Linked DNA regions of Arabidopsis thaliana. The protein of the gene in region 1 interacts with the protein of each later gene in a biochemical or structural test. Each region holds a gene or a part of one and is shown in the gene's direction. Other genes may lie near its edges.

Region 1 (6,814 bases):
AAGTCTTCTATATGTAATTATGGATTGTGGTGTAGGTTTTAATCGTTTTCCAAGTTATGAAATTCTAACATCAAAACTAGGACTAGAAAAAAAACCAAAGCCGAAGATTTATTATATTGGGTTCGAAATTAAACTTGAACCCGAAGATTTACTATATTGGATCCTAAATTTTTTAATCCAAAAAATCTAAGTCGAATCCGAAAATACCGGTATTTTATTCGAAAATCTAAATTTATTCGAAATCTAAAATTTTATCCAAAAATTCAGGTATTTACTCAAAAATTCGGATATCGGTTCTAAAAGGACCCTGAAAATTTATATCCAAACCGATTAAAAACCGATTGGATACAAACTTAAACCAAACCGATATTTTGGATTTATCCCATTGAATCTTAAACTTTTATATCCAAAAAAATCATATCTAATCGGGTTTTACCCGAACTTAACCCAAATGCCCACCTTTAATTATTCAAAACCAAAAAAGAAGTGTTTGATGCTGAGGTTTGAACTCATCAGATACACGTAACTATTTTCCAATTTATTTTCGTTTATGTGCATTTCAGAATTTCAAGCATAAATATACTCTTATTGTTTAAACATTTCAAATTGCATGTGTGAAATAATATCAGAGTTAGAATATATGTTAATCTTCTCTTCTCCTAGATTCAGTTAGATACGTTTCTATCTTCTTTTAGGCAACATCTCTTGTACAAATAGTCTCTTTGGCAATTCAATACAATCAACCTTTTACGATATATATATTTGTTATTTCTTGTACAAATAGGATCAAAATTGTTATTTCTGAAGCAAATTTTCTTTAGTTTGGATGTCAATTATATCCTCGATTAATATGTAATCACGGAACGGATTCACGATGCGTTATTTTAGAAGCAAATTTATACTTGATAGTACGTTCAGAGGCATCGCTTTTGTACAAATTGAAGCGGGTTTGTTCAATATTTAAAATAACACAGGAAACATTCAAATGTATTATTGATGTTGCTTAGGTTTGTGAAATGATATGAACCATATCGTATATATTACTAGATTTTTCTTATATGTTTTAAGGGTAGTGGGGCTGACCTATCATTCTGTTTGGCATTACCAATCAGACTATCAGAGTATTCACCATTCAGGATTCCATAACTAGAAAAAGAAGGGGTTTACATTTTCTCATACTGTATAATTTTCTACTATCAGAGATTTTATCGATTACATTAATCTCATAGTGATTATTCTGATTTATAAAAAAGTTGACAAAATAATTAAAACCAGTATTTTATAACAAGATTGTCTCTCTCCCATGGCCATTATTTTGACCTCTGACTTATTTAAATCTTAATTAACAGCATAATACTGTATTAAGCGTATTTAAATGAAACAAAATAAAAGAAAAAAAGAACAAAACGAAAGAGTGGACCACATGCGTGTCAAGAAAGGCCGGTCGTTACCGTTAAGGTGTGTCGAACTGTGATTGGGCCACGTTAACGGCGTATCCAAAAGAAAGAAAGGGCACGTGTATAGATCTAGGAAAAAAGAAAGAATGGACGGTTTAGATTGTATCTAGGTACCAGGAAATGGAACGTCACACCAAACGGTACGTGTCGGATCCTGCCCGTTGATGCTGACGGTCAGCAACTTCCCCTTATTCATGCCCCCCTGCCCGTTAATTACGTGTAACCCTTCCATGCGAAAATCAAACCCTTTTTTTTTTTTGCGTTCTTCTTCAACTTTTCTTTTTAAATCAAACCTTTTCTTTTTAAAATCACATTGCATTTCCTAACGCTCAACAAAATCTCTCTCTACTAATATCTCTCTCTCTCTCTCTCTATTGTTGAAGAAGACTCATAATCGGAGATTGTTTGTTTTTGGTTTGCTCTGTAAATTGGAGAAGTTTTGTTAGAGATCAAATGGCTGGGATTTGTTGCGGTGTTGTTGGAGAGACTGAACCGGCGGCACCGGTTGATTCAACTTCTCGAGCTTCTCTTAGACGGAGGTTAGATCTACTTCCGTCGATCAAAATTGTTGCTGACTCCGCCGTTGCTCCTCCGCTTGAAAACTGCCGTAAACGGCAGAAGCGTGAGACAGTAGTGCTCTCGACGTTACCGGGAAATCTAGATCTGGATTCGAATGTGAGGAGTGAGAATAAGAAGGCTAGATCAGCGGTTACGAATTCAAATTCTGTTACGGAAGCAGAGAGTTTCTTTTCCGATGTACCTAAGATCGGTACGACGTCGGTTTGTGGTAGAAGACGAGACATGGAAGACGCTGTCTCGATTCATCCTTCGTTTCTTCAACGGAACTCTGAGAATCATCATTTCTACGGTGTCTTTGACGGCCATGGCTGCTCTCATGTACGTTAATTTCCTCTGTTTAGTAATATTTTTTTCTTTTGTTTGTGATTAGTTACTAATTAGGGTTTTGTTTGGTTGATTTTAGGTTGCGGAGAAGTGCAGAGAACGGTTGCATGATATAGTGAAGAAGGAAGTTGAAGTTATGGCTTCCGACGAGTGGACAGAGACGATGGTTAAGAGTTTTCAAAAAATGGATAAAGAAGTTAGCCAACGAGAGTGTAACTTAGTTGTTAATGGTGCTACTCGGAGTATGAAAAATTCTTGTAGATGTGAATTGCAGTCTCCTCAGTGTGACGCCGTCGGATCCACCGCTGTTGTATCGGTTGTCACGCCGGAGAAGATCATTGTTTCTAATTGCGGTGATTCACGGGCTGTGCTTTGTCGTAACGGTGTAGCCATTCCTCTCTCCGTAGATCACAAGGTAGTTAAAATTATGTCTTATATAGAATTACGAATTGGTTAGTATGAATCAAGATGGCATGGTTCTAAGAGTTTTTGTTTTGTGATGAACAGCCGGATCGACCCGATGAATTGATTCGGATCCAACAAGCTGGTGGGCGAGTTATATATTGGGATGGAGCTAGGGTTCTTGGAGTTCTTGCCATGTCTAGAGCAATTGGTGAGTGAATCTCTCTTGTGATTTGACTTTTTAGGCTATTTTGAATTACACGTTTGAATTTAATCTGATGATTATTGTTTTTGTTTGTATAGGTGATAATTACTTGAAACCGTATGTGATTCCGGATCCGGAGGTAACAGTGACGGATCGAACTGATGAGGATGAGTGTTTGATCTTGGCGAGTGATGGACTATGGGATGTTGTACCAAACGAGACGGCGTGTGGCGTGGCTCGCATGTGCCTTCGAGGTGCTGGTGCGGGTGACGACTCAGATGCGGCGCACAATGCGTGCTCCGATGCGGCGTTGCTCTTAACAAAGTTGGCTCTAGCAAGACAGAGCTCCGATAACGTGAGCGTCGTTGTGGTTGACTTGAGGAAGAGGAGGAATAATCAAGCGTCGTCTTAATAATTAGTGTTATAATTAGTAGTAGTATTAGAATAATTGTTACATAGCCTAATTGTAATTGTATTCTTTTTATTTTTCTATTTTAGTTTTTCTCATTTTAAGGTGTTTTTTCTTTTCTATTTTAGTTAGCTCTTAATTCAGGCTGGGGAAGAAAAAGAGCTGATTAAATAGTTTGAGTATTTTTCTTATTTTTCTATTCAGGTAATATTATACATGTATTCTTTTAGTATGGTCGTTGGAAATGTAATAATCTAATTCAGAGGGGAAAAATGTTAAAATGAAAGAACAGATTATGCGTATTTACCATTTTAAAACTTCGGTTAATGTTATTCGATCCGAACTGGTTTAGTATGAGTCTCGACGATGATTTGAATCCAAACCGGTTACTTACTAATCTTCCCCTATCTTAAGAAGATTTTATTTATTTTATTGGTATGGGGTCGTATGGGAGACTCGCGTGTCGTAGACCGCGGCATTTTAGCACATAATTGTAATTAAAAGATTCAAGGATAATATTAGAAACATAAATCAACAAAAATATATATATATCTTGGTGGAAGAGACTAATCTGGACAATCAATATAAGAACTAGAAAGTACAATGATTTATTAATTCTTTTAATACTAATGAAGATAGTTAAGTTAAGAGACTTGTCTGGCAACATTGTCGAATGCTTAATGTCAGTTAAGGTCGGAATCAATAATCAATTAAACAGATTTTGATTAAATTGACTAGAAAATATCAACTAGGAGGGTAAGAAAAAGGAATATGATCTTCACATTCTTTTATAAATAAATTAATATCAACTTGAACAAAAAATAATACATACTTTTAACCGTCCATTACTAGCCACTTGCCAGTTGCCACAATGACCAGATAATAAAATCTTATTCTATTCAATCATGTTTTTATAAACCCTTCACATTAATGTTTGTTAGGTATTAATCATACGTTAGGTTATGTTTTGTTTTCTAAACCAACAATTATTATGGGGTTTTGTTGAAGACATTTTTCGTAAACCTAGCATCTTTTGGATATGAAAATACCACATTTGAACCAAAACTACGGTAAATTTATATCCCCACGCGTGAAAAGTTCGATTGGATAATCCAATACATCACAATTGGTCGAAGTTTGGAGATTTCACCATCAAAAGATAAGGCACTGCCATAAAATTATTAGATCGGAATTCGCATAATGTTATAATGATGGATTGATTTTTTTAGCTGTTGCCTGTTGGGTTTGTGGAAAGAGTGAGAGGGCAACACAATAAAAGTTGGGGATTGAGAGGGACACAACACAAGTGGGAGCTTAGATAAGATTATGCCTACTTGTGACAATCAAATAGCAACACGTGTCTATTTGGTCTATGTGAGATTTGGTTTCCAAGATTTGATGTTGACCTCTCTTTCTCAATTATTCTTTCCCTTTTTTCGCTATACATCATAATGTTGTCTCAATTTGTCTTATTAAATATCTATTCATGTCCCTAATGGTTCTTACTTTATAGTATTGAGGAAGGCTTACATGACATCGTGAGTTCCTTGTGCTACATTAAAAATGTTAACAATAAGTTTGGTTTTATATCATAAGTCTAGTTTTAGCAAAACAACTAACTTTATACTTTTTCCTACATAAAATCCATTGCTAGTATAGATTTAAGTTAACTTAAAATGTCGTTAATTACATGTGTTTGGGACATAATAGAGAAACTTGGTCAGCCTTTTGACGATGTTGCCTGAAAGATATAGCTATATTCACTACAAAATACACAATTGAAATGCTCTAAAATTGTTAAAAATAACATTTTAAACCAAATATAGTTGGTAGACGATTTTAGCTCAACGGTGCAAACATACAAGTGAATTGTTCGACTAAATTTGTTAAATAAGACTTTTCACCAACTGTAGTAGTCCATCAATGATAAAAGGTAAAGAAAAGATGCATAGGCCGTAAAACCTATAATCATTGTTTTCATTTTTAAATTTGTATATTATGCAAAGGTTTAATAAAACGGAGAAGGATTTGTTTACTGACGATATTTGATTCCAAACGTAGAACACATTCTAAAAAAAAATATTTTCTTTTATGAATTTATGAATTTATGAATTAAAGAGCATAAAAAATTAAAATGACTTTAAATTTAAATAACTGAAGTAAAGAAATACTAATCAAATACAAACCATATAAGAACACCATAAGCAGAACGTAACATCATCATCTTAATGATTTGAAAGGGTCTCAGTCTCTCAGATTATGAATTTATGATGCAGTTTCATAGTGAAGAATGGTCCCAACAAGAAACTTTAAACTGTTTTTGTGTTTTAGAATTTCTCTATTTATATTTTTAGATAATGCTTCTATATCTAATTAGATAGATTTTACTTTGTTTTCAAAGTCTATCTCTTGCTCTTATTATCCTTCTTGGTCGATTTTGGTCCTAGCTAAGTTTTATTTGAAGCTTTTGTTTCTCTCATTGGTATACAGTTTTTAAAACATATAAAACAAGATTATTCTCTCAGCTAGAGTCGCTGGTCCTTTTTATATATTGTTTAAGAAGAAACTTGTCCCGACTAGTTTCTCCAAACCGCAATATATAAACCATATTTTTCTTTCCCTATTCAATTTGGTTTTAACTTTTGTTCGGTTGTAAGAAAACAGACGATAAAAAAGAAAAGAAAAGGAAACAGACGATAGCTTACGGCGAAGCAAATTAAATAATATGATATAGTAAATCATAATAATTGAAATCCATCCATATAAACAACAAGAAACGAAACTTTAGGGTCAAGCAAAATTAGGCTTTCACTTCCTTAACTTGCTACCCACGGAATATAAATTGAACCATATCCTTTACTAGAACTGTCACTAACCCTATCAAAGATCTCTCTTCCAAATCATCAATGGACGAATTAGGGTTTACTGAATCATGCTCATCCAGAGAAGAATTTAACCCCGTCTCCCACAAGAATGCACCCACTGCAAATTCTTTTTTGCAGGACAAGTTACCGATATCTGTAGGCAGACCATAGAGTTTGAGAAGTCGATCGAGTTCTTCCTCCGACATAATGTCGTACTGTTCCTTTGCGTAATTCGGGTACTGAAGAGGCATTTGAAACGAAGACGGTGACGAAGAACCAAACAAGCTGGCGAATTGGTCGCTTTCATTGTCCGATGATGAATTAGATGTTTTTTTGCCGACGACATCTATATTTTCGACATAGTCATTGTTGAAGTTTTGTAGTTCGTCACGGAAGATAATACTGAGTTTTGAAACCTTTTCCATTGTTTCAATGAAATTCTAAAATTTGACCTTCTACTAAGAAGAAATTACTTAAGCTGATATATATGCAGTTAAAAATAAATGGAAATTTTACTTTTTCGACTAAATTTAACAAAGGAAATTTTCTTATTTTTACATAATGATACGAAAAT
Region 2 (7,299 bases), on another chromosome or scaffold:
CTTTAGCAGAAAAAAAAAAAACACTACTATAATTAGTGAATTGAGAGTATTATTGTCCTTGTATTTAATTTTTAAACGTAAAAAATAATAAGATGGGTTTGATAATGTGAAGGTGAGCCCAACTAAAAACTAGAGACGTGGACCAATGGAAAAAAAGTAAGAAGACTCTTTGGTTTCTGACATCTTCCCCCACAAAACACAAAGTCGATGTGAAAGCAAATAATAGTGTTCGTCCACGTTACATCGACAATCAACGGCTGAGATTTGGTTTCATTATGTGTCTGTCTCATCGAGGTTGGTTCGTGTTTTTGTTTTTGTTGGTTGTGACAGTAATGGAGCGACACGTTATTTCGTTACAACTACTTTTTTCTTTTTTAAAACTTTTGTAATCAGAGGACTAAAGAAGTAAGTGGACCGATCATAAATAACAAACTCAGGTGATTGATTATTGGACCTTTGTCACTTCAGGATGGAGAAGCGTTTTCAATTCACCGGTGAAATAAAATATTAGCTGATTTTTTTAAAAAGAATTAAGGTTTTGAATGGATATTGTGGATAAATCGGATTAAAATTTGGAATTATACCAATATTTTCTTTTTTAACGAACATTTTGATTGGTAAACTTTAATCCATTTTGATATGTAAACTTTCTGAGAAGTTTTAGGACTATACCCATATATAATACCAATTTTTTATGTAAGAACTATATGAATTATTTTGTATATAGAGTTTTTTTTTCTTTTTGTTTTGTATATACCACTACAAATTATAATTTTGTGAATGATAAATAAGAAGTTGTCTAATCTACAAACCCATTTTGTTCTCCAACCACCGCAACCATGTGTACCTAAACAAATAAATATTAATTGGTTAATTAGCACAATTGTTAGAGTGAAATTATTATCTCGAATCCGATATAAAGAATTTGTCACTATTCTTTCCAAAATTTCCGATATTCAAAGTGTTGAGATCAATAGTAAAAATTTGAATCCGTCCAAATTGATTTAAATACAATTTTAAAGTTTACATACCCAAAAATCATTTGGTTTCTCTCAAAATATTTAAATATTTAGATATTACTTGGAAATCTGGGTAGTAACAATTTGGATTTGTCCAAGCAACATTTGGATCTAGATATCATAATTTCCAAGTCAACATATCCAAATTCGCCAGATATAATATTAATATATATATATATATATGTAAAATACAATATTTTCATTTCTTTTCTAGTATATAATACTTTATTTTCATAAACATAATCCAATCTTAATTTTACAATTTTAAAGACGTTTTAACATTTTAATTTATTGTGTAGATACAATGATTTTTGGACGGAATTCCAAAGTGAAAACAACTTATTTTAGGAACCTAAAGTAAATTAAAACAACATAAATCCTGAAAAGGAAAACAATTAGTAAGTGAAATTAGTAAAATAAAAACGAAGAGGGAAAGTGACGCAAAATACAAAGATACAGAGTATATACCATTTTATTAAAATAATTAGCAAAAGTAGTATTTATTCAAGATTGTTAGGAGCCAGAGAGACACTTGGCTCACCAGACAAACTACCTAATCACCCAAACGAAGAACCAAACATTTTGAAATTTTTTGGGAAAATTACAAAGCACACGAATTTAGCAAAAAGGTAATAGATTTTTCTTCTCTTTGTGTGTATAGAAGAAACTGTGGTTTTTGTTCATCTTCTTTTAATTCTTTCGATTTATGTCCACACTTAATTTTTGGATAAAATTACTAATTGTGCCTAATACTTGTCATAAACGCATTCATATTCTCCTGTTGGTTTAATCTGTTTTTATCCATTTGACTATTAAAGTTTTGAAATCTGTTAGTGTTTTTGAATTGGGTTTTGCAGATTTCTTGATTTTTATTTATAGATTAGGGTTCTGATACTAAAGTTTGGATTTTTAAACTAAAGTTTGGATTTTTTTTTGTATTCATGGTTCAGATCCAGTTATTAGGTGGAAGCAGATTTTGTAGAAAAATGGATGGTAGTATGAATTTGGGGAATGAGCCACCAGGAGATGGTGGTGGAGGTGGAGGGTTGACTAGACAAGGTTCGATATACTCGTTGACGTTTGATGAGTTTCAGAGCAGTGTAGGGAAAGATTTTGGGTCAATGAACATGGATGAGTTGTTAAAGAATATATGGAGTGCTGAAGAAACACAAGCCATGGCTAGTGGTGTGGTTCCAGTTCTTGGTGGAGGTCAAGAGGGTTTGCAGCTGCAGAGGCAAGGCTCGTTGACTCTGCCTCGAACGCTTAGTCAGAAGACGGTTGATCAAGTTTGGAAAGATCTATCCAAAGTTGGAAGTAGTGGAGTAGGGGGAAGTAACTTGTCTCAGGTGGCTCAGGCTCAGAGTCAGAGTCAGAGTCAGAGGCAGCAAACATTAGGTGAAGTAACTTTGGAGGAGTTTTTGGTTCGTGCTGGTGTTGTGAGAGAGGAAGCTCAGGTTGCTGCAAGAGCTCAGATTGCTGAGAACAATAAAGGCGGTTACTTTGGTAATGATGCCAACACAGGTTTCTCTGTCGAGTTTCAGCAGCCTTCTCCACGAGTTGTTGCCGCTGGTGTAATGGGAAATCTTGGTGCAGAGACTGCAAATTCTTTGCAGGTTCAAGGTTCTAGTTTGCCTCTGAATGTGAATGGAGCTAGAACAACATACCAGCAATCGCAACAGCAACAGCCAATCATGCCTAAGCAGCCTGGTTTTGGTTATGGAACACAAATGGGTCAGCTTAATAGTCCTGGGATAAGAGGTGGTGGTCTTGTGGGACTTGGAGATCAGTCTTTAACGAACAATGTGGGCTTTGTCCAAGGTGCTTCTGCTGCAATTCCTGGAGCTTTAGGCGTTGGTGCTGTGTCGCCTGTTACGCCATTGTCATCAGAAGGGATAGGGAAGAGTAATGGTGATTCTTCATCACTCTCTCCGTCTCCTTACATGTTTAATGGTGGTGTGAGAGGTAGAAAGAGTGGCACTGTGGAGAAAGTTGTAGAGAGAAGGCAAAGGAGAATGATAAAGAACCGAGAATCAGCTGCAAGGTCCCGGGCCAGGAAACAGGTTAATCTCTTCATCACCATCTATCTATGTACTCTTGATTGTGTTATAAGCCAAAAGATATGTAAAGTAAATTGGTTAGCTTATCTTGTAGTTAAGTTCTTTAACCACAATGAAGCGTTGAATTCAAAGCGTAAAGTGTCTTGTGTGAAGTAGTGTAGTAAACAACTAAACAGAATTATTGGGACTTGAAATCAGTACTTGTGGCTGAATGAATCTCGCAAACAAATATGAACCTTCTGGTTTTGGTGTATATACATGTTGCCCATCCGCAGATATTCACGGCAGACCAAACAATATACTGGAATGTAATTTGCTAATGTCATGAGGTGGCTCAGAGTTTAAATGAGTAGTGAGGGTTCATCGTCAAAACCTGAGTAGTGGCGACATGGTTTTTCTTTTGGGGCAAGGTAATGGGTAATTGGTGCTCCCAAAAACCTGTTACATCTGACATGTACTATGACCAAACTGTTGAGTTCTACATTTGAGGGTCTAAATGTTTTGAATGGCACTCTAGTCTTTATCTCATAAGCTTCTCAGTCGTGCTTGTTTTGGTTCATAGGCTTACACCGTGGAGCTTGAAGCTGAAGTTGCAAAGTTAAAGGAAGAGAATGACGAGTTACAACGAAAGCAGGTAATCACAAAACCATGTCTCAGCATCACAGTTGCTCATACGTTACATTCATTTCTCATTGTACGCCTCATGTTTTACAGGCAAGGATCATGGAAATGCAAAAGAATCAGGTAATAATTCTTATGCCAATGCAACAACACTGGAATCTCTAAACTGCACATTTCATAGCTGAACTTGTAAACTTGGTTGTTTGTTTCCGTGCTATGTATAAAACAGGAGACGGAGATGAGGAATCTTCTGCAAGGAGGTCCAAAGAAAAAGCTGAGGAGGACAGAGTCGGGACCTTGGTGAATCAATCAATGCCATCATACTTAGTTTCTGTAGATAAATGACATCCCACTTAGGTGTTTTAGTTGAATTAGACTTAATAGAGAAGAGCTTTCATCGTTTATATTGTAAGCTCTCTCCATATATGTTATGTTTTTTACATACACAGGATCATCAGAATCTCTTTTGCTTTATTTAGACCAAGAATTTTGTGTGTGTTTCTCGTTGTTGTTTGTCGTTGTCGCTATTAAACCTCAAAATGTACTTTCTTGATCTTGGAGTTACCAATTTTGAAGAATTGAAGTGTTGTTTGGTTTCTCTGAGTGCCAAAACTATGACCTGTGCCAACACAGCATTCTAGCCTTCTAGGCAAGCGACTATAACCCAAACCGAACCGAACCTTGGTCATTTCGGACGGATGAGGTAACCGAGTCGGTTTGATGTGGTTCACTGAACCGACAGTTACACAAAGTAAACATTTGTACTGAAATTTATGTATGTATCAAAGTAAAATTCCTCTAAATTCGATAACCAAACCAAACGGGATTAATCATTTGCATGGAGAATAAATACATAACCGAACCAATTTAACCGATGACCGAATCGAACCAAAACCGACTTATTCGGTTTGATTTTTTAGTTACTAAAAATGAAAGTGTTCACTCTCATTCTCTCCCACTTCGTCGCTCAAATTCTCCCTAATTTCACCTGCAAAACCCTAGTTTTTCGTTGATTCGTTTCGTCTCCGGTGTAAAATCAAATACTATCTTTAGGTATTTCGTCTTACCCAACTCTATCTTTCCATGTTTTCCGAGGACAAAATAAAAGGTTAATTATTCATGACTAACGTCTGTAATGGGTTTTATTGTGATGTATGTTTGAAATTTGGAACATTTCGATATAGCATTGTGTTACTAATGCTTTTGAATTTGTTAGAAACGAGCAGTAAAATTGGTTTTTTCTTCATCTTTTTTTTCAAAAATTTGGACTTCTCTGTGGAAATTTCTGGGTTTTGTCAATGTTAGTGAACAAATTTCCTTATTTTATTGTCTTCTTCTTATAGTGTTTCAAGATTTTTTGTTTTTCTTTTTGTTGCATAGGTTTGAAAACTGATCACTCTTGTGTAACCTTTGTTTGTTTGATTTTGAATCCAAAGACTGGAAACTGATATTTTTCTCCTCCAAATTCTTCAGAAACGATCAGAGAAGATAGAAATGGCTCCCGAAGGTCCCAAAGGAAGAAAAAATGTAAGCTTTCTTGCTAGCATAGACGATTGAACACTACAGATCAGTGTGGTTCGGGACTTGGGTTTCATACTTAAGTAAGCTTTACTGTTACGTAGAGGATTAAACAGAAGTGTGGTGGAGGTTTAGGAGAATAGAAGATCCACTAGGTTTCATACTTAGGTTTCTGGTTTGCTTCGTTTGTTCTTGAATTTTCGCTTGTTTCAGTTGATTCTCAATGAGAAATAGATATCTGTTTGATAAGTTTGTTTTTCTTCAACTATGATTTTCTCGCCTTTAGAGGGTATTAAATTGCTACTTTCTTCTTCTTGTTTTGCAAGCAGATTGGATTGAGGCGTGAGGATGCAGCACGAGACCGCATGAAAGAGTTTGGGTTTAAGAAGCCTGTTATCAATGCGAGTATCAAGCAAGTGCTAAAGGTTTGTTCGTTAGTTTTAGAGTTCTCTATCTGCCCTTGCTAGAAAAAAACTTTACTTCAAACTTCAAAAGTGACACTTTACTCAATTTGGATTTCAGGTGTATGGTGAGGACCAATGGTTTCTGATTGAAGATGCTAACTATGAGGTCTCCTTAATATTTCCCTTAAAAAGCAAGAGGAACAAGCCTACCGATTGGCGGCCGAGGAACACGAAGAAACAGCTCAGGAAGAACCAGAAGAAGAAAAGGTGATTTGTTCATCTTGGTTACAAATTTGTTTCTTTTCATTGTTGGTATTAGTTTTGCTTGAACGATCAGTGGTTTCTTGAACCTATATGCGTTATTGATCACTAACGAAGCAGTCATGGACTCATCACCATCAGCTTTTCAATTCGTAGAAGCACCACCAGTAGATTATGCACACCATTCTGTTGGAGGTATACTAATCTCCATAACAATCTCAATGCATGAATCATTCTTTAACTGAGGTCAAAATCATTCTGTAGGTGCGCAGAGTTCTCACTGTGGATGGCTAAGCAGTGAGGAGGAGACAGATCCAGATAAGGATAGTGATGAGATGATTCAGCTAACTCCAGAACCTCTCTGTGAAGAACTTGAAGAGATTCTCAGAGAAGTATATGGACAGAAGAAGTTGAAGTACAACTAAAGTAGTCATAAGCTCATGTAACTAAAATTGATATATATTGGAGTTAGAGTTAAAAAACTAGCAAGTATAGTGAGAGAGTAAGCTCATCTTCACATGATCTTGCAATACGGTTGTGTCTTAACTAACGAATAAGAGTGCACTTAATTTTCATTGAATAGCACAGCACAAGTGAGACTCTCTTCTCTCGGTCGTCATCGTTATTCTAATGATTTGCCGACACAAGAGAGGCGATCTTTCGTTAATTTGGTTTGACATGACGTAGCCTACCACATGTTCGACGAAATTCCGAAACCAGCTTTCTTTTCTCAAATCTATGGGACTGGATCCACCTGAAATGCGAGATGAATCAAGAATTCCTTCTTAGGAATCAGTGGATGCGTTTCTTCCACTAAAGTGGGTAAGTATCTTCATTCTTTGCTCTTTCTAGTTCATTCTGCTATGTAGTTAAGGCACAAAAGTATACATTTTGTGTATCTGTCAGTTTCAGTGATGATTGAAACTGTTTATTGTAATGAAAATTTAAGAACAAAGCTGGCTTTGTTTGACAAATCAGAAACTATAGACCTGGCACATTACTATATGCAACTGTTCTGAGCTCCCATTTCCTAGAATAAAAGAGTCAATGGGGCATTCCCAGAATCGAAGTCGGGACCTGTTGTTGATAATATATAACTCAATGCACAACTGTCGTTGTTGAACTTGGATACCAGTTTTAAGCTGTGTTCTTTTTTCACTTCCTGCAGTTATCTCTTGGATAAATTGGCAACATTCAGCTAGTGATGTTCTTGGTTCATTCTGACATCGAGAAACTGTTTTCTTGCTGCACAATGTGATCAAGTCAATGGACGTGAAAGCCAAGGTGCGTTGTGATTCTCATTTATTTGTTGCATTTCAGCAGTTTATACCAAACATGCGTAATGGGAAATAGTTTTCTAATTTAAACATTCTAGAAATTGTGAGAAAATGCACTATAGAACATATTTTGCCATGATAG
Region 3 (7,605 bases), on another chromosome or scaffold:
GTATGTTGTCCAAAGCAGACAAAGAGATCATGTTTAAGCTCGGTGCTGCAAGGAGCCAACATGAGGTATATACAACATTCTTCATGACTTCTTTTTCTTCACCTACCTATTTGCATTTATCAAATCTAAGTCTCTATGAAGGCACAAATAAGGCAACAAGGAACACACGAGACATTGCACCGTGACATGATTGTTGGATTTGGAACTTGGGAGTTCGATCCAATGGAGCTCGAGAATCTGTTCCCGAACAATGAAGGATCAGTGCACTTGTGGCAGGGAGATGATGATGTGCTTGTCCCTGTGACTCTGCAACGTTACATTGCGAAGAAGCTGCCATGGATCCATTACCATGAGATTCCTGGAGCAGGGCATTTGTTCCCGTTTGCTCCAGGTATGGTTAATAACATTGTTAAAACGCTCTTAACCAATGATGGAGTGAAGAAGTAAACGATGTCTTCTCTCTCAAAAAGTTGGCTAGTTTTGGTTTTGTAACATGCATTGCTATGATATTTTGAACCGGGATCAGAGAGATTCATGAGAATCTCAAGTTTCTCTTGGTTGCTGATATATATTGTGGGTGATTAGTAAAGAGTTCTGGTACCTATGTAAAACATTCTCAGCATTCATCTCAAAAAGCTGTTTCTGTATATCACCCAATTTTAGGCTAATGTCAACTAGTTTAATATTAGGCTTAGACAGCCATTAATTGTGAGATGTGTCAGAACAAAATTAGGTGTATTAATTGAATTATGGGCCACTTGTGTTTGTGTTTGCATGGTCTAAAAACAATCAAAGGAAAAAAGTAACTAAAGAGGCCAATATGATAATTAATAGTTAAGTTTATATAAAACCGCATTAGGCTAATTAGCATCAATCCGACCTTAGCTCAGTTGGTAGAGCGGAAGACTGTAGTAGTTGCTGTAATCTTTAGGTCGCTGGTTCGATTCCGGCAGGTCGGATAATCTTTTTTATTTTTGTTTTTAGTTTTTTGGCTATTAGAAACACTTGATAAATTAAGCATTTAAAATTCGATAGTCCTTATGCAGTGAATAGTCCACGTGCACTCCCAATGGAAGTTCGGAATCATGTTTTTTTTTTTTTGTCAAAGTTAAATAAAATATCTTCGAAAAAAAAAGTAAAAAAGGAAGAGGATAATTTCTCGACTTTGATTTGTTTTAATTCTTTAATAAGTTTTTGTCTCACTAAACGTAATTCTATTCAAAATCTAACAAGTCTACTTTCACCAGCTAGAAGCTCAACGACAAACAAGTGTTTACAAACTTTGACTATTTCTTTCATAACATCTTGAATCTAACCTAAATATGTTTTTACCAAAGTAAATCAGTATTGATCAATCAAATTAATCCGTCAATTTCACAAAACAAATCATGAACCAATATGTAAAAAAAGATCACACTTTAATTCGCTCTTCTAATCCAAATTTCACGTTCTTATTATCTTATATATGCTTAAAAGAGAGAAAATCATGTCTAGTTTTAGACGTAAAAAAACATTTGTGTAGCCGAAGTCACACGTGTCGAGCCTGTGAGAAGACACTGCAAGAAACAGAAGAGAGACACGTGCAGGACACGTGTCGTCCGCAGCCGAACGGATTCTTTGTCTCTGATCATGGGCCTGGACCTGGACCTGTCTAAGTTAGCATTCCATTGGTCGAAAGATAACTTTAGACAAAAGATGTTGACCTTCACGCCTCTCTTCTTAGACCCCACGCGCCACACTCTCACGGTGAGAACATAAATATCAATCTCTCTTTTACCGCCTCCTACCCATTTATCTCTCTCTTTCTCAAAACCTTTCAGTCAAAATTCTCCGGCGGCTTTTAAACTATGTGAAGGAGGAGAACCTCCATAACAAGAAGCGGATTCTCTCAGTTTTCCGGCGGCGGAGGAACACAAAGCCACCGGTTTTTAGACACACAGATTTCATTTTCAGGTTAACACTTTTCTTGTTTTATAATTTTTCAAGATCTTGGATTAGAAGACTGTTAAATAAATCTATCTCTTTATTTATAAGTTTAGGTCTTCGTTTTCTGGTCCTTACTTATCTGCGTATTACCAAATATTAAACTTTGTGGTAAAGTGATACTTAGTAATAGACGGATATAATGATGACCCAAGCTAATGATTAATTTATTTTACTAATCATCAGGTTAAGCTCTAGATTATCTTTTGTTTAAAACCGTATTAATAAATGATTAAAGAGGAAAAAAATCTTGTGTTGATAAGTTCGCTTTAAGAAGAAAACGAGTGGGTTAAGATATTTTCCTCTTTTGGTAACGAAAACTTTATTGGAAGAGTAAATTATTAGTTTATTTATTGCTAATTTTAGTATCGTTTGTCGCTGTCACGATGTGGACCGTTCTTCTTTATTTTCACGTGGACCGACTTAATTACCTTCTTTCATTCTTGTTATTTCAATATTTTTTACGTCATTTAAACTCCACTTTACCAAAATAATTTATTTCATTCTTTGAGAGCATCAATTATCAAATAATTCAATTGTCTTTTTTCGTGATAGTTGAATAAGGGACAACTATTAAGTGAGTTTCGTGAATAGCTGAACAGGGACAAGTAACTGAAGTTTGGTCAAAATAATACGATGAATTTAATATATAAGAGACAAAATTGTTATTGTCGTTTAGGTGGTATCCATATTTCAATATAGTTTGTGTGAATACAGATATAAAAATGGTTATTGTTGTGTATATGATGCAGTTGTTAAATGGTAACTAGAGAAACGAAGTTGACGTCAGAGCGAGAAGTAGAGTCGTCCATGGCGCAAGCGAGACATAATGGAGGAGGTGGTGGTGAGAATCATCCGTTTACTTCTTTGGGAAGACAATCCTCTATCTACTCATTGACCCTTGACGAGTTCCAACATGCTTTATGTGAGAACGGCAAGAACTTTGGGTCCATGAACATGGACGAGTTTCTTGTCTCTATTTGGAACGCAGAGGAGAATAATAACAATCAACAACAAGCAGCAGCAGCTGCAGGTTCACATTCTGTTCCGGCTAATCACAATGGTTTCAACAACAACAATAACAATGGAGGCGAGGGTGGTGTTGGTGTCTTTAGTGGTGGTTCTAGAGGCAACGAAGATGCTAACAATAAGAGAGGGATAGCGAACGAGTCTAGTCTTCCTCGACAAGGCTCTTTGACACTTCCAGCTCCGCTTTGTAGGAAGACTGTTGATGAGGTTTGGTCTGAGATACATAGAGGTGGTGGTAGCGGTAATGGAGGAGACAGCAATGGACGTAGTAGTAGTAGTAATGGACAGAACAATGCTCAGAACGGCGGTGAGACTGCGGCTAGACAACCGACTTTTGGAGAGATGACACTTGAGGATTTCTTGGTGAAGGCTGGTGTGGTTAGAGAACATCCCACTAATCCTAAACCTAATCCAAACCCGAACCAAAACCAAAACCCGTCTAGTGTAATACCCGCAGCTGCACAGCAACAGCTTTATGGTGTGTTTCAAGGAACCGGTGATCCTTCATTCCCGGGTCAAGCTATGGGTGTGGGTGACCCATCAGGTTATGCTAAAAGGACAGGAGGAGGAGGGTATCAGCAGGCGCCACCAGTTCAGGCAGGTGTTTGCTATGGAGGTGGCGTTGGGTTTGGAGCGGGTGGACAGCAAATGGGAATGGTTGGACCGTTAAGCCCGGTGTCTTCAGATGGATTAGGACATGGACAAGTGGATAACATAGGAGGTCAGTATGGAGTAGATATGGGAGGGCTAAGGGGAAGGAAAAGAGTAGTGGATGGTCCAGTGGAGAAAGTAGTGGAGAGAAGACAGAGGAGGATGATCAAGAACCGCGAGTCTGCTGCTAGATCTAGAGCAAGAAAACAAGTAAATAGAGACCTTCTTCATTCCTTTTATGATGTTTCTTGTTGAAAAAAATCTAATGTTTGTTGTTGTTGTTTTGGGAAGGCATATACAGTGGAATTGGAAGCTGAACTTAACCAGTTGAAAGAAGAGAATGCGCAGCTAAAACATGCATTGGTATATATTTACTCATCTCGTTAAAGAGTTTATTCTTTTTGTGAAAGTGAGTTTGTAACAATTTAGCCTTTGTTATGTTTTCATCAAGGCGGAGTTGGAGAGGAAGAGGAAGCAACAGGTAAAGACACCTATTGAGTTTGCATTACTAAGATGGTTGCAGTATTTTGGTCAGAAGAAAACTACAAAATGGAATTGTTGGTTTATGGTTGCAGTATTTTGAGAGTTTGAAGTCAAGGGCACAACCGAAATTGCCGAAATCGAACGGGAGATTGCGGACATTGATGAGGAACCCGAGTTGTCCACTCTAAACAAACAATAGGAAGATGGAGAAGAAGTCGGAGACAGAACGAGGGAAAAACTGATGATTTTCTACGTTGTTGTTTTGTCTTTGAGGAATGAGGTTATAGAATCTTTATACTTTGATGTTTTCTGTGTTGGTAGGAGGAACACCATCTGATCTGCTTTACTAGTGTTCCCTGTGAACAAAGAAAGTGATTCTGTGTTTCAACATCATCAATCTTTGGAAAATATAACGAGTGTTATGCTCACTTGTAGATTTAGGTACACTCTGTTTCTGTGCACTACCATGAAGAGTCTTAATTTGGAATGACACAATGCGCAAGACAAAAGATACTCGGGACACAAGTCAGATAGTTAAACCTAGTAACCTAGATAGATCAAGATGCAAATTACATTAGAGTACTGCTTAACATTCAGTAATACAAGGAGAGAAAGAGCAAGGAACAAAGTAAACGTGAGAGAGAGAGAGTGTTGTCTTCTTCATGTTGATTTGTCTATTGCATTCTCTGTGGAACACACTCTTCTCGAGTCATATACCTTCTCCACTTCCTCTTCTAGCTGCAACAACAACAATCAAGAACAAGAGAAACAAGTTAGTTAGTGATTGAAAGTAGGGTAAATTTTCTTAAGATTAAGTCGAAGAATTAATTAGAACCGTTTCGGAAGAGCACTGAGATCGTCTTGATCAGTGTCAACCGTGTTGGTTTGGAAGACTCTGTAATCATGTAACTTACAAAATCAAACACTCTAAAATCACTAATAACCCGTACGAATCAAGTAAACTCTAAACCCTAGAAAACTCTCAATTCCGAGAGAACAGAAATGCTTACTTGGCTTGACAATGGATATGGATCTCAATGGATGTTTGGCATGTCTTGATGGATTTACCACGCCAGCCCTGTTTCTTCTTGCACACAGTTCTCTCAACCTTCTTGATGACGTAGCAGCCGTCGGAAGTGGAATCTCCGAGCTGTTGATCGGTGATATCGTCAGAGGAGGAGGAATGGAGGATGAATCTTTTTGCCAGAATCTTTTCTTCTTCTTCTTTTGTGTGAGTGAGAGAGAGAGTGTGAGAATCTTGTAGAGGAAGATGTTTGTGTTTTAAAGTGGCTGACTTTAACCGGGCTAGAGTAATCAACCACACTCACATTTCTACCCACTTTTTTTTACCAGGCTTCAGTGTGGGGTTTTTATTTATCGTAAAATGTTTCCGACTTGGCCAATTTTTATGTCGGAGTTATTTTTGATGTCAAAATTTCATTGGTTTGTTGAAGTCGTAAGAAATCCAGAGTAATACGTAGAAACGAAACCCATTTCCACACACACTTATTCACATTACATTAAATCATCGCAAACGTCGCAAATTGCGAACCTACACGGAAGACAGCCTTAAGATAGTTGTATTTACAAAGCAAATTTCATCGACTACTGTGGTAGAGTAATAGAGTTATATATGTCTTATTATGTTATATGTGTAATTTTGCCTTTCATGTTGTCGTGAATGACTCACCACATCCACACTTTGTCGCGTTTGGATTGACGAACACAAACTCAGACCTGTGCCAATACAATGCAAACATGTTTACCATGAATAAAGAGAGTGTCAAGATTGGCACGTGAAAGGGCACAAACCTAAGCTTATCGTCCACGAAATCCATCTCTGTCCCAATCACATGCATCACCGCCTTTGGATCCACAAGGATCTTTACACCTTTCTCCTCGACCACCTCATCAAACTTCCCTTTCTCCTCTGAAAACAAAGATCATAGCAGAACAACGCCAAATAGGAAGCCTCAGGAGTCAGGACACATTTAAGTCATCTATTAAAAGTTCTCAAAAGTGCTACAAAACAAAAGGTCTTAGGTTCCTAGGAAGGTGACAAAACCTACCCTAAAACTTGACTCTGAACCTGATAGAATATGTGCCTTTAATTATTACATACATCTCTCTAATCAATATGAACTCCCTCCTCATCATGAGCATCAAATATATATCAACATAATTTATGAGGAAAAAATCAACAAAAAAGAAATATATATGTGGGAAAAAATGGAAATTACGGGCGTAATTGAGGACGTAAGATAGGCCATTGCATCCTTTGGCTTCAACAGCAAGGCGGAGGAAAGGTTTTTGCTGATGCTGCAGAAGTTGGCGAATCCTCGCAGCCGCCGTGTCACTCAATGCTAATACTTGCTTTCTCATCGCCGACCAAATATTCGAGGATTTCAAATTTGTGCTAAAGATTTTTCAGAGAGGAAGAAGACGTCCAAGCAAATTTGTTACAAGTTGATATTTAAAGAGCCATTGTACTTTAATATATAATTTAGTGAACAAGTCTTAAGAACTGTTTAGGCCTGTAAAGCCCGAAAGAATTAGTATTAGTAATATATAAAGTTTGTATTGAATATGGGATGATGAAACGATCTAGCTTCCAGAAAAAGTCTTAATTACACAACATAATAATAACTACCAAACGTGTCAACGCTCCCGTATTCGTCCACTAACATTCTCCCATGAACCCTAAGTTATAAGTCCTCCAAGGCTACGATCACATTTACAAGCGGAAAATTGTTGTGTTTGATTTGTTTCTTGTTTTATTCTCACTCTAAGCCTCTGGTTATATAGCATTTTTTGGCGGAAAAGCTAATCGCAAAACATGAGATTATAATTATGCGACATGTCAAATTGTTATGAAAACATTTTATATAATAAGAAATTTATTTGGTATAGTATCATATGAAACAAAGAGTCAATACAATATCAATGTCATTATATGTGCTCATTATGTTAAGTTGAGTCAAGGCACTTTACTAAGAACACTTCAATAATTATATTTAACTATTTCTGTGTATTCATACGTATGATACAAGGTTTGGTGTTCTATATACTTTATCCTCATCCCTTGAATTTTAGTTGGGCCAAAATAATGACATTAAAATTATAATATGTTGCTATATAAAAAATTGTTACAATTTGGATGCAACATAGAGAGATCATTAGCGAGACATTGGGTGGATCGTGCAATTCATTTCTGTTTTGTCAACTAGCAATTCAAATTATGGCGACATTATATACATTAATCCATATTACACAAAAACTAATAAACTATATATGTCTTGGATTCAAATAGAAGAAATAAAAGTCAACGAGTTTGCCCTATAAATGATTCTATGCTTTCAAATAGTTAGCTACAAGCTCATCAATCTCTGCTCTATTAAAAAAAGAAGAAGAAGCAAACACAAAACAACAACAAAGAAATATGGCAAAGCTCATAGTTAA
Region 4 (8,860 bases), on another chromosome or scaffold:
TTAAAATCTTCGATGAACAAGTGACCCTTAGCTATCTGTTTCCTCGTCACTCCCTTCATCTTGACAGGGCTTATTACTCCTGTGGGGCTTACTACCTTTTTGGTCTCTACTAGTTGGGCTTCTAACCGTCTTTTGTGAATTTGTGGGTTTTGTTTCTAGAGTGGACATTTGTAAGACTTTAGTTAGCTTACTAGTAACCTTTTTAACTTTTGTTGTATGTTCAAACAAGTAACCCCTTTTTAACTAATATGCATCAAACTTTATGAAAACAAAAACATGTACATTAGTGTTTAACACAAAGAAAAAGAGAAAAAAAAATCTAAAAACATTGGTTAGCTAAATACAACAAGAACTAACAAAAACGTTTGTCAACGGAAACACTCCAACTTTATTGGAGACTTGACAACGCAAAACAAACAGAAGCACAACAGAGTACAAGGCAAAACACTCAAAACATATGATGTGATGAAATGAAAGCATAAACATGCAAATAGCAAAACACACACACTCACACACACAAAGCGACGTCGTTTTCTAGCATCTGCAATCACATGCTTTCCATTTCAGCACTGCTCTCTACATTATGGCAGCAATAACAGACACTTAAACCAGGAAAACGAGCATCTGAGCATTCGCCTCCAGTAAAATTGCGGCCCAATGAATTGCATTGTGTATTGCAAGAGAACAACATACTACATAAACCCGCTGCGCTGTCACACACTCTACGCCCATCTACTTGTGTCCAGTCCATATATAGAAAGATGCAACATTTCATTAACATGTATTTATTCTAAATCTTCTTTTAACTAAATTTACGTACCTGTAGGAGACATGAGGAGGATGGAGAGACATACAACTACTGCAACAGCAAATGTGCTCACTCTTAAGCTCCCCATTGCTGATTTCTCAGTTCTTTTTTTTTTAAAACACTAGATATCTCTCAATTCTTCTTTCTTTTTTCCGCTTTGTGATTTATTTAGCGAAGGAGTCTGAATTTATAGCACTGAAGGGAAAATGAGAGGCTCAAACATGTAACTTTATTTTATTTTATTTATTTATGTTATTTGTATTTATTTTTAAAGAAAACATCACTATGCAATTTTATATTGGAACTAGGATTTAACCCGTGGTATACCACGGAGCAAATATTTTATTTATATATATAATAATCTTAAATTTTAAGGTTTTAAATTTTTAGTATTAAAATTATATAATTTTATATTAATATTGTAAAAAAAAAATTAGTGATGATAGAATAATAAATAAAGATTTAACCCGCGTTATATCAATGCAAACCCGTCCCACTATATAACTCGTCTCATAATATTTTAATATCTTTTTATAAGGATAAATATTAATAATGTTTTATAAAGTTAAAATATATCAATAATAATATACCATTAATGCTAATAGATCTCTTTAAAAAAGAATATTAGTGTGTAGTACATTTTAGATTTGGAAAGATTTAAATGATTGTTGTGATATATTTATTTTAATTCTAAATTTTAGTAACAAAATTGATTTATATTTGGATTTGAGAAGAAATTTGTTAAAATATTAAATGCTAATGGCATTGGATGGTAAATAAATCTCAACTTGAGGATTTATTTCATAAAAGTGCTGCAAAAATGTATATGTAGATGAGTAAATAGATCAAATAACTTTCAGTCAACATATTTACAATAAAATGATTCTCCAATATTGAAAATCACATCTGTCATTAGCATCAATAAAATCGAATTTTATTATATAGTATACGTAACGAGACACACATTGAGTCTAAAATATTGAAAATACTCACTATCACATATGTCAACGATAACACTAATTTTTTTTTTTGTATAATATACGTAACGAGACCTGCATTAGATCTAATTTTTAATCGATTAGAGCTTAAATGACATCGTTTTGGTTTGACTAAGAGAATCGTTAAAAATGTTAGAAAATCTGTTAAAGCTTAATAACTGTTTGTTTGTTTTTTTTCTTTCTTTTTTTGTCAATCGAAAATTAGACTATTAAATGACAATTTTCCGTTTAAAATGGCAAGTCCTAGATTTGAAAAGGTCTTTTGAAATCTTTTTAAGAGAATTAAGGGTGAATTAAATATATTCAGAAATTAAAGGGTCGAATTGCAAACTTTCTTGGTTCATACTTGGTCTGCCTTTGTCCCTTTCTTATCTTCTTCGCGCGCTTTTGAAAAAAATAGAAACCCGCCACTGAACGTCAGTCTTCCACGTGTCCTCTCCTGTGCTCTGTTTCCGATCGTCGGAGACATCAATTTGCCTGCTTGTAGGGTGATTCGTCAAATCTATTATCAGGTTTTAAATATACTCGAATTGACTTCCAAATTCTTAGTCTCTAGTGTAATGATTTTGAGAATCACTTAACTCCAAAAATATAATCCACGATCCCGTGTTAATTATTGAAGAATCAATCGTTTTTAATTTCTCACCAATAGATGTTGCTCTTATTACTTAAAACAAATTGTTTAGACAAATGTAGCAAGTGTGATACTTAGTGGGATCTTAAAGACGATTTCTCCTATAACAGAGGACAAACAGGTCGGTCAATTACAATGTCATCCCTCTTTACCCTGTCTTTTTTTTTCTTCTTAAAACCTAACCATTTGATTGTTTCTAAAGGTATTTCAAGAATATATGATCAATCTAGATGAATACTATACCGACGATGACTACACACACAAGGAAATATATATATCAGCTTTCTTTTCACCTAAAAGTGGTCCCGGTTTAGAATCTAATTCCTTTATCTCTCATTTTCTTCTGCTTCACATTCCCGCTAGTCAAATGTTAATAAGTGCACACAACGTTTTCTCGAAGCATTAGAATGTCCTCCTCTTAATTAATCTCCTTCTGATTAGATTCTCAATAGAGTTTAAATTTGTTAATGGAGAGATATATTGGGACCCTCAAGGCTTCTAATTATACCACGTTTGGCATAATTCTCTATCGTTTGGGGCCACATCTTTCACACTTCATTACCTTATCACCAAAACATAAAATCAATCAACTTTTTTTTGCCTTATTGATTGTGTTGGATCCCTCCAAAATTAAAACTTGTGTTCCCCACAAAAGCTTACCCAATTTCACTTCAATCTTAACAAATAGGACCACCACTACCACGTACGGTTTGCATCATACAAACCACAAACTCCTTCTTCATTACAATTATTATATCATCTACTAAAACCTCTTTCTCCCTCTCTCTTTCTTGTTCTTAGTGCTAAATTTTCTTTGTTCAGGAGAAATATAATGGACCTCAAGTATTCAGCATCTCATTGCAACTTATCCTCAGACATGAAGCTCAGGCGTTTTCATCAGCATCGAGGAAAAGGAAGAGAAGAAGAGTATGATGCTTCTTCTCTCAGCTTGAACAATCTGTCAAAACTTATTCTTCCTCCACTTGGTGTTGCTAGCTATAACCAGAATCACATCAGGTCTAGTGGATGGATCATCTCACCTATGGACTCAAGATACAGGTACCATCCATATTGATGAAACAGAGTACCTGAAAAATACATTCTTTATATCTCAGTGACATAAAAGAATGCTTGAATTAGTGATAACGTAAAGAAGTTAAATGGTTGATTCAGGTGCTGGGAATTTTATATGGTGCTTTTAGTGGCATACTCTGCGTGGGTTTACCCTTTTGAAGTTGCATTTCTGAATTCATCACCAAAGAGAAACCTTTGTATCGCGGACAACATCGTAGACTTGTTCTTCGCGGTTGACATTGTCTTGACGTTTTTCGTTGCTTACATAGACGAAAGAACACAGCTTCTTGTCCGTGAACCTAAACAGATTGCAGTGAGGTCAGTGATTGTTATTCATGATCTTAGTTTCACCTTTTTTATTTGATCTGATATCTTTAGCTAAGTGGAAGAAGACAAGGTTTAGGTGACTGTTGAGCCCACACCATGTGATTCTTTTATTTTCATAATCAGTTAGATAGATTTCTGTTTTTGGAATAAACAGAAAGATTCTACTTATATATATTAGGTGAAAAGAAAGCTTTTTAAATAAATGTGTTAGTTCTTGCTTAATGCTATTTTAATATCTCATTAAAGGTACCTATCAACATGGTTCTTGATGGATGTTGCATCAACTATACCATTTGACGCTATTGGATACTTAATCACTGGCACATCCACGTTAAATATCACTTGTAATCTCTTGGGATTACTTAGATTTTGGCGACTTCGAAGAGTTAAACACCTCTTCACTAGGTACACTAATTCCCTATGACTCTATGTCATGTCTCTGATCAAGAAGGTAACAAAATGATTCTATTTTTGGTGTTGTTTTAGGCTCGAGAAGGACATAAGATATAGCTATTTCTGGATTCGCTGCTTTCGACTTCTATCAGTGAGTAAATAACTTATAAGTGAAGGAACAAGATCACATTTCTTTAGATTTTGTAGTTGCAGTACATGATGAGGTTTGAGTGTTTTACAGGTGACATTGTTTCTAGTGCACTGTGCTGGATGCAGTTATTACCTAATAGCAGACAGATATCCACACCAAGGAAAGACATGGACTGATGCGATCCCTAATTTCACAGAGACAAGTCTTTCCATCAGATACATTGCAGCTATATATTGGTCTATCACTACAATGACCACAGTGGGATATGGAGATCTTCATGCAAGCAACACTATTGAAATGGTATTCATAACAGTCTACATGTTATTCAATCTTGGCCTCACTGCTTACCTTATTGGTAACATGACTAATTTGGTCGTGGAAGGGACTCGTCGTACCATGGAATTTGTGAGTCTCACGCTCTATACAAGATTAAGTCTTTTCTGTTTGTATAGTTTGCTCAAGGAAGATCTTATGTTGTTGTTGTGGTGGTGCAGAGGAATAGCATTGAAGCAGCGTCAAACTTTGTTAACAGAAACAGATTGCCTCCTAGATTAAAAGACCAGATATTAGCTTACATGTGTTTAAGGTTTAAAGCAGAGAGCTTAAATCAGCAACATCTTATTGACCAGCTCCCAAAATCTATCTACAAAAGCATTTGTCAACATCTTTTTCTTCCATCTGTTGAAAAAGTTTACCTCTTCAAAGGCGTCTCAAGAGAAATACTTCTTCTTCTGGTGAGTTAATTTTCTGACATGATTGGTTGAGTTTTGGCTTGCTGGATAAGTTTTCTAAACAGAGGTTTTGGTGATTAGGTTTCAAAAATGAAGGCTGAGTATATACCACCAAGAGAGGATGTCATTATGCAGAACGAAGCGCCGGATGATGTTTACATAATTGTGTCAGGAGAAGTTGAGATCATTGATTCAGAGATGGAGAGAGAGTCTGTTTTAGGCACTCTACGTTGTGGAGACATATTTGGAGAAGTTGGAGCACTTTGTTGCAGACCACAAAGCTACACTTTTCAAACTAAGTCTTTATCACAGCTTCTCCGACTCAAAACATCTTTCCTTATTGAGACAATGCAGATTAAACAACAAGACAATGCCACAATGCTCAAGAACTTCTTGCAGCATCACAAAAAGCTGAGTAATTTAGACATTGGTGATCTAAAGGCACAACAAAATGGCGAAAACACCGATGTTGTTCCTCCTAACATTGCCTCAAATCTCATCGCTGTGGTGACTACAGGCAATGCAGCTCTTCTTGATGAGCTACTTAAGGCTAAGTTAAGCCCTGACATTACAGATTCCAAAGGAAAAACTCCATTGGTAACGTTTTGCTTTCACCATAAGCCATTTAAAACCCTTACTCATAATCATCATCACAGCCGTTAATTCGTCGTCTTATATTCATGTTTCAGCATGTAGCAGCTTCTAGAGGATATGAAGATTGTGTTTTAGTACTCTTAAAGCACGGTTGCAACATCCACATAAGAGGTAAACACATCATACTTAAGAACCGTTATGTTTTATGTTCTACTGATATGTTTTAAGAACAAGATTTTATCATAATCTTGCAGATGTGAATGGTAATAGTGCTCTATGGGAAGCAATAATATCGAAGCATTACGAGATATTCAGAATCCTTTATCATTTCGCAGCCATATCGGATCCACACATAGCTGGAGATCTTCTATGTGAAGCAGCGAAACAGAACAATGTAGAAGTCATGAAGGCTCTTTTAAAACAGGGGCTTAACGTCGACACAGAGGATCACCATGGCGTCACAGCTTTACAGGTCGCTATGGCGGAGGATCAGATGGACATGGTGAATCTCCTGGCGACGAACGGTGCAGATGTAGTTTGTGTGAATACACATAATGAATTCACACCATTGGAGAAGTTAAGAGTTGTGGAAGAAGAAGAAGAAGAAGAACGAGGAAGAGTGAGTATTTACAGAGGACATCCATTGGAGAGGAGAGAAAGAAGTTGCAATGAAGCTGGGAAGCTTATTCTTCTTCCTCCTTCACTTGATGACCTCAAGAAAATTGCAGGTAAAGATACAAATTACACAAGTGACTAGAGTTTAAACACCAAATTACGGTTTAGGTTATATGGTGTTAAACCGGTTCAAATTGGTTTTGGTTTATTGAGCTAACCGGGTTTTGGTGTGCATGTGCTAAAAACAGGAGAGAAGTTTGGGTTTGATGGAAGTGAGACGATGGTGACGAATGAAGATGGAGCTGAGATTGACAGTATTGAAGTGATTAGAGATAATGACAAACTCTACTTTGTCGTAAACAAGATAATTTAGAAGTTGAAAAATTATAACGAAATGAAGTTTGAGATAAGAGAGAGCGTGACAAAAAAATGAAAAACAAATTGTAATATTTATATGCGTCCATCAAAGTGAGATGTAACACATATTTGGGTAAGAAACGTTCCAAATAATAAATTTAAATTTACTAAAATAATAAAATCCAAAATGAGTTCAAATTTATTAGAAACCTAATCTACTGTACAAACTTTTCAACTAGGTATATAGTTTCTACATATATGAAAATGTGACGTGACTGTCGTAGTATCAGTATCACATGCTATGCTACGGTTCGAATTTAGCTGAATTATTGAGTTTTTTTCGTATTTTATTTTGGAACATAATTTTTGAGGTTGTACACGTTGTTTTGTTTGCAAGGGAAAAACTTTATTCTTTGGTATTATGGAATAGTCGTCGAGTTGAAGAGAATGATCCACGTGACCTTCACGTGAATAGTAGTTCTATGATATTTCTTTGTCAATGAATCCATAAAATGATGCGACTTTTTTTTGTACCACTTGAAGTTTAGACACACTCCAAACCCTACCTCACATTTCTAGTTTTTGTGGAGTTGATTCTTTCTGAATTAGTATGATGTAAGAAATATGAATGTAACTAATAATAAAGTATTGTGGAGATAATCATATAAAAAATGGACAAGAACATAGAACCAAAATAACATTCAAACTATATCCTTAGATTTGTGATTAGTTTGAAAAATATAATTCGTTGACGAGAAAAATACGCAAAGAACCATATGTATGCTGTCTAAGGACCTACAAAGAAACTCCGTTAACAATTATGGACTGTCGTCGTCCATTACCAAATTTTAGTTCGTGTAGCATTTATCAACTATCCAAATATAAACAACTTTTGAGTATCAGAAAATGCGTTGGCTAAAAGGAACTCGAGCCTAAAACTTCGTTAACCAACATATATAAAACTATTGTTTCAATATTACTATTTTAAAATCAGTTTAGAATGATTTGTATTATTAAAAATTGTGTCATTGAAAGCTAATTAAAAATTTGTAAGTCGTAACATGGGGTGTACGGATGGGGAAATGTGAAAACCTAAAATACCAAATCTATGTAACGTCGAAGTTGCGTGCAGAGAGAAAGGGTTGGGTTATTTACGACATTTCACAATCACGACCCTACGACATTAAATGAGTGTGAGATAATGCTATCCATCACATGGCCTTACATTATCTATGTCTGTTTCCAAACACAAACCAACCAACAAATCTTTTTGCTATTTTTGTATTAATTTTTTCCCATTTGATGATCATTTATATAGAAAAAAATAGATTTATGAGATCTTTTTTATATTTCTGCTAGCTTACATATTTTTTCTTAGTATTTTTAAAAATTTCTTGAACTAGTTAAAATCACAGCCAGTCACTGGTGGTGAACCCGTAATGCTACAGCAGAAAAAGCTAAACAATACGATAAAAAGCGTTTAATACGTGTAGGTCCTATTAAAATCACGTTTCATTCTTTTAACTATTTGTTTCCTTCTGTTTAATGGGCCTCATTCTTGGCCCGTTTACCCCTTCTGGCTGTCTTTTATCGCTAATAATAATGTACTTTGGGACTACATTTGTTTTTTGTTTTTTTTTTGTTTTGACAGCCAACATTTGTCTATTAAGTGTATTGGTGTCGTAAACATAACATAACTTGGTAAGGAATTTGGCAAGACAAAAAAACATAGCAGAACAAAAGAATGAAATTATTCGTGAATGTAGAGAAAAATATCAAACATTAATGATAAGATTCATTCGTTAGACACTCAATTTTAAAAATGGTGGAGATATTAAATAGAATTAAATAATAAAGTGTACTGTATTTATAGATTTTCTCATTGTTGATCACTCATTTTCTATGTTCCGCCAACCTATTGTGATTAATTTTTCCTAATAAAACCACCACTTTATGAAACAATTTGACTATTTCGTAAATTAATCATCAAAAAGTCAATACATTGATTTTGTCGTTTTTATTTGGCACAAACGAGTGAAACTTGATACTAACAAAACAAAGGCTTGTACATAAGTATAGGACTAGGAATATCGAATATGTATAGCATGCGTGTACGTCGGTGGCTTGGTGGTTGTATCTACAATTAAACAAAACTCTAAGTATTCATTTTTCATTAGT

What was found.
Region 2: of the proteins of PP2CA (region 1) and ABF2, one has a biochemical effect on the other in vitro, tested with the Arabidopsis thaliana proteins (one study listed by BioGRID).
Region 3: of the proteins of PP2CA (region 1) and ABI5, one has a biochemical effect on the other in vitro, tested with the Arabidopsis thaliana proteins (one study listed by BioGRID).
Region 4: the proteins of PP2CA (region 1) and KT2/3 form a complex in vitro, tested with the Arabidopsis thaliana proteins (one study listed by BioGRID).

Annotation. Positions count from the first base shown.
Region 1 is NC_003074.8:3,580,746-3,587,559, reverse strand, and holds PP2CA (protein phosphatase 2CA), read left to right. Parts: upstream 1-1,709; 5' UTR 1,710-1,910; coding exon 1,911-2,354; intron 2,355-2,439; coding exon 2,440-2,775; intron 2,776-2,867; coding exon 2,868-2,973; intron 2,974-3,065; coding exon 3,066-3,379; 3' UTR 3,380-3,778; downstream 3,779-6,814. Other genes in the region: AT3G11405 (uncharacterized protein), read right to left, coding at 6,201-6,665. UniProt on the Arabidopsis thaliana protein: Major negative regulator of abscisic acid (ABA) responses during seed germination and cold acclimation. Confers insensitivity to ABA.
Region 2 is NC_003070.9:17,162,122-17,169,420, reverse strand, and holds ABF2 (abscisic acid responsive elements-binding factor 2), read left to right. Parts: upstream 1-1,531; 5' UTR 1,532-1,648; intron 1,649-1,679; exon of another isoform or gene 1,680-1,939; 5' UTR 1,940-1,960; coding exon 1,961-3,079; coding exon of another isoform or gene 3,080-3,232; exon of another isoform or gene 3,233-3,351; coding exon of another isoform or gene 3,352-3,396; exon of another isoform or gene 3,397-3,638; coding exon 3,639-3,710; intron 3,711-3,790; coding exon 3,791-3,820; intron 3,821-3,926; coding exon 3,927-4,001; 3' UTR 4,002-4,263; downstream 4,264-7,299. Other genes in the region: AT1G45248 (Nucleolar histone methyltransferase-related protein), read left to right, coding at 5,192-5,224, 5,545-5,640, 5,738-5,886, 6,001-6,075, 6,145-6,181. UniProt on the Arabidopsis thaliana protein: Involved in ABA and stress responses and acts as a positive component of glucose signal transduction. Functions as a transcriptional activator in the ABA-inducible expression of rd29B.
Region 3 is NC_003071.7:15,201,709-15,209,313, reverse strand, and holds ABI5 (Basic-leucine zipper (bZIP) transcription factor family protein), read left to right. Parts: upstream 1-1,677; 5' UTR 1,678-1,953; intron 1,954-2,653; exon of another isoform or gene 2,654-2,735; 5' UTR 2,736-2,742; coding exon 2,743-3,873; intron 3,874-3,954; coding exon 3,955-4,026; intron 4,027-4,114; coding exon 4,115-4,246; coding exon of another isoform or gene 4,247-4,334; 3' UTR 4,335-4,569; downstream 4,570-7,605. Other genes in the region: AT2G36290 (alpha/beta-Hydrolases superfamily protein), read left to right, coding at 1-65, 142-447; AT2G36260 (Iron-sulfur cluster biosynthesis family protein), read right to left, coding at 5,814-5,883, 5,959-6,076, 6,387-6,528; AT2G36255 (Defensin-like (DEFL) family protein), read left to right, coding at 7,586-7,605. UniProt on the Arabidopsis thaliana protein: Participates in ABA-regulated gene expression during seed development and subsequent vegetative stage by acting as the major mediator of ABA repression of growth.
Region 4 is NC_003075.7:11,744,504-11,753,363, reverse strand, and holds KT2/3 (potassium transport 2/3), read left to right. Parts: upstream 1-2,665; 5' UTR 2,666-3,272; coding exon 3,273-3,499; intron 3,500-3,613; coding exon 3,614-3,832; intron 3,833-4,087; coding exon 4,088-4,246; intron 4,247-4,327; coding exon 4,328-4,385; intron 4,386-4,475; coding exon 4,476-4,790; intron 4,791-4,879; coding exon 4,880-5,119; intron 5,120-5,197; coding exon 5,198-5,713; coding exon of another isoform or gene 5,714-5,779; exon of another isoform or gene 5,780-5,805; coding exon 5,806-5,881; intron 5,882-5,964; coding exon 5,965-6,438; intron 6,439-6,573; coding exon 6,574-6,698; 3' UTR 6,699-6,874; downstream 6,875-8,860. Other genes in the region: LCR85 (low-molecular-weight cysteine-rich 85), read right to left, coding at 548-735, 821-896. UniProt on the Arabidopsis thaliana protein: Highly selective and weak inward-rectifying potassium channel. Plays a role in both loading and unloading potassium into/from the phloem sap. Seems to control sugar loading into phloem via a voltage-dependent process.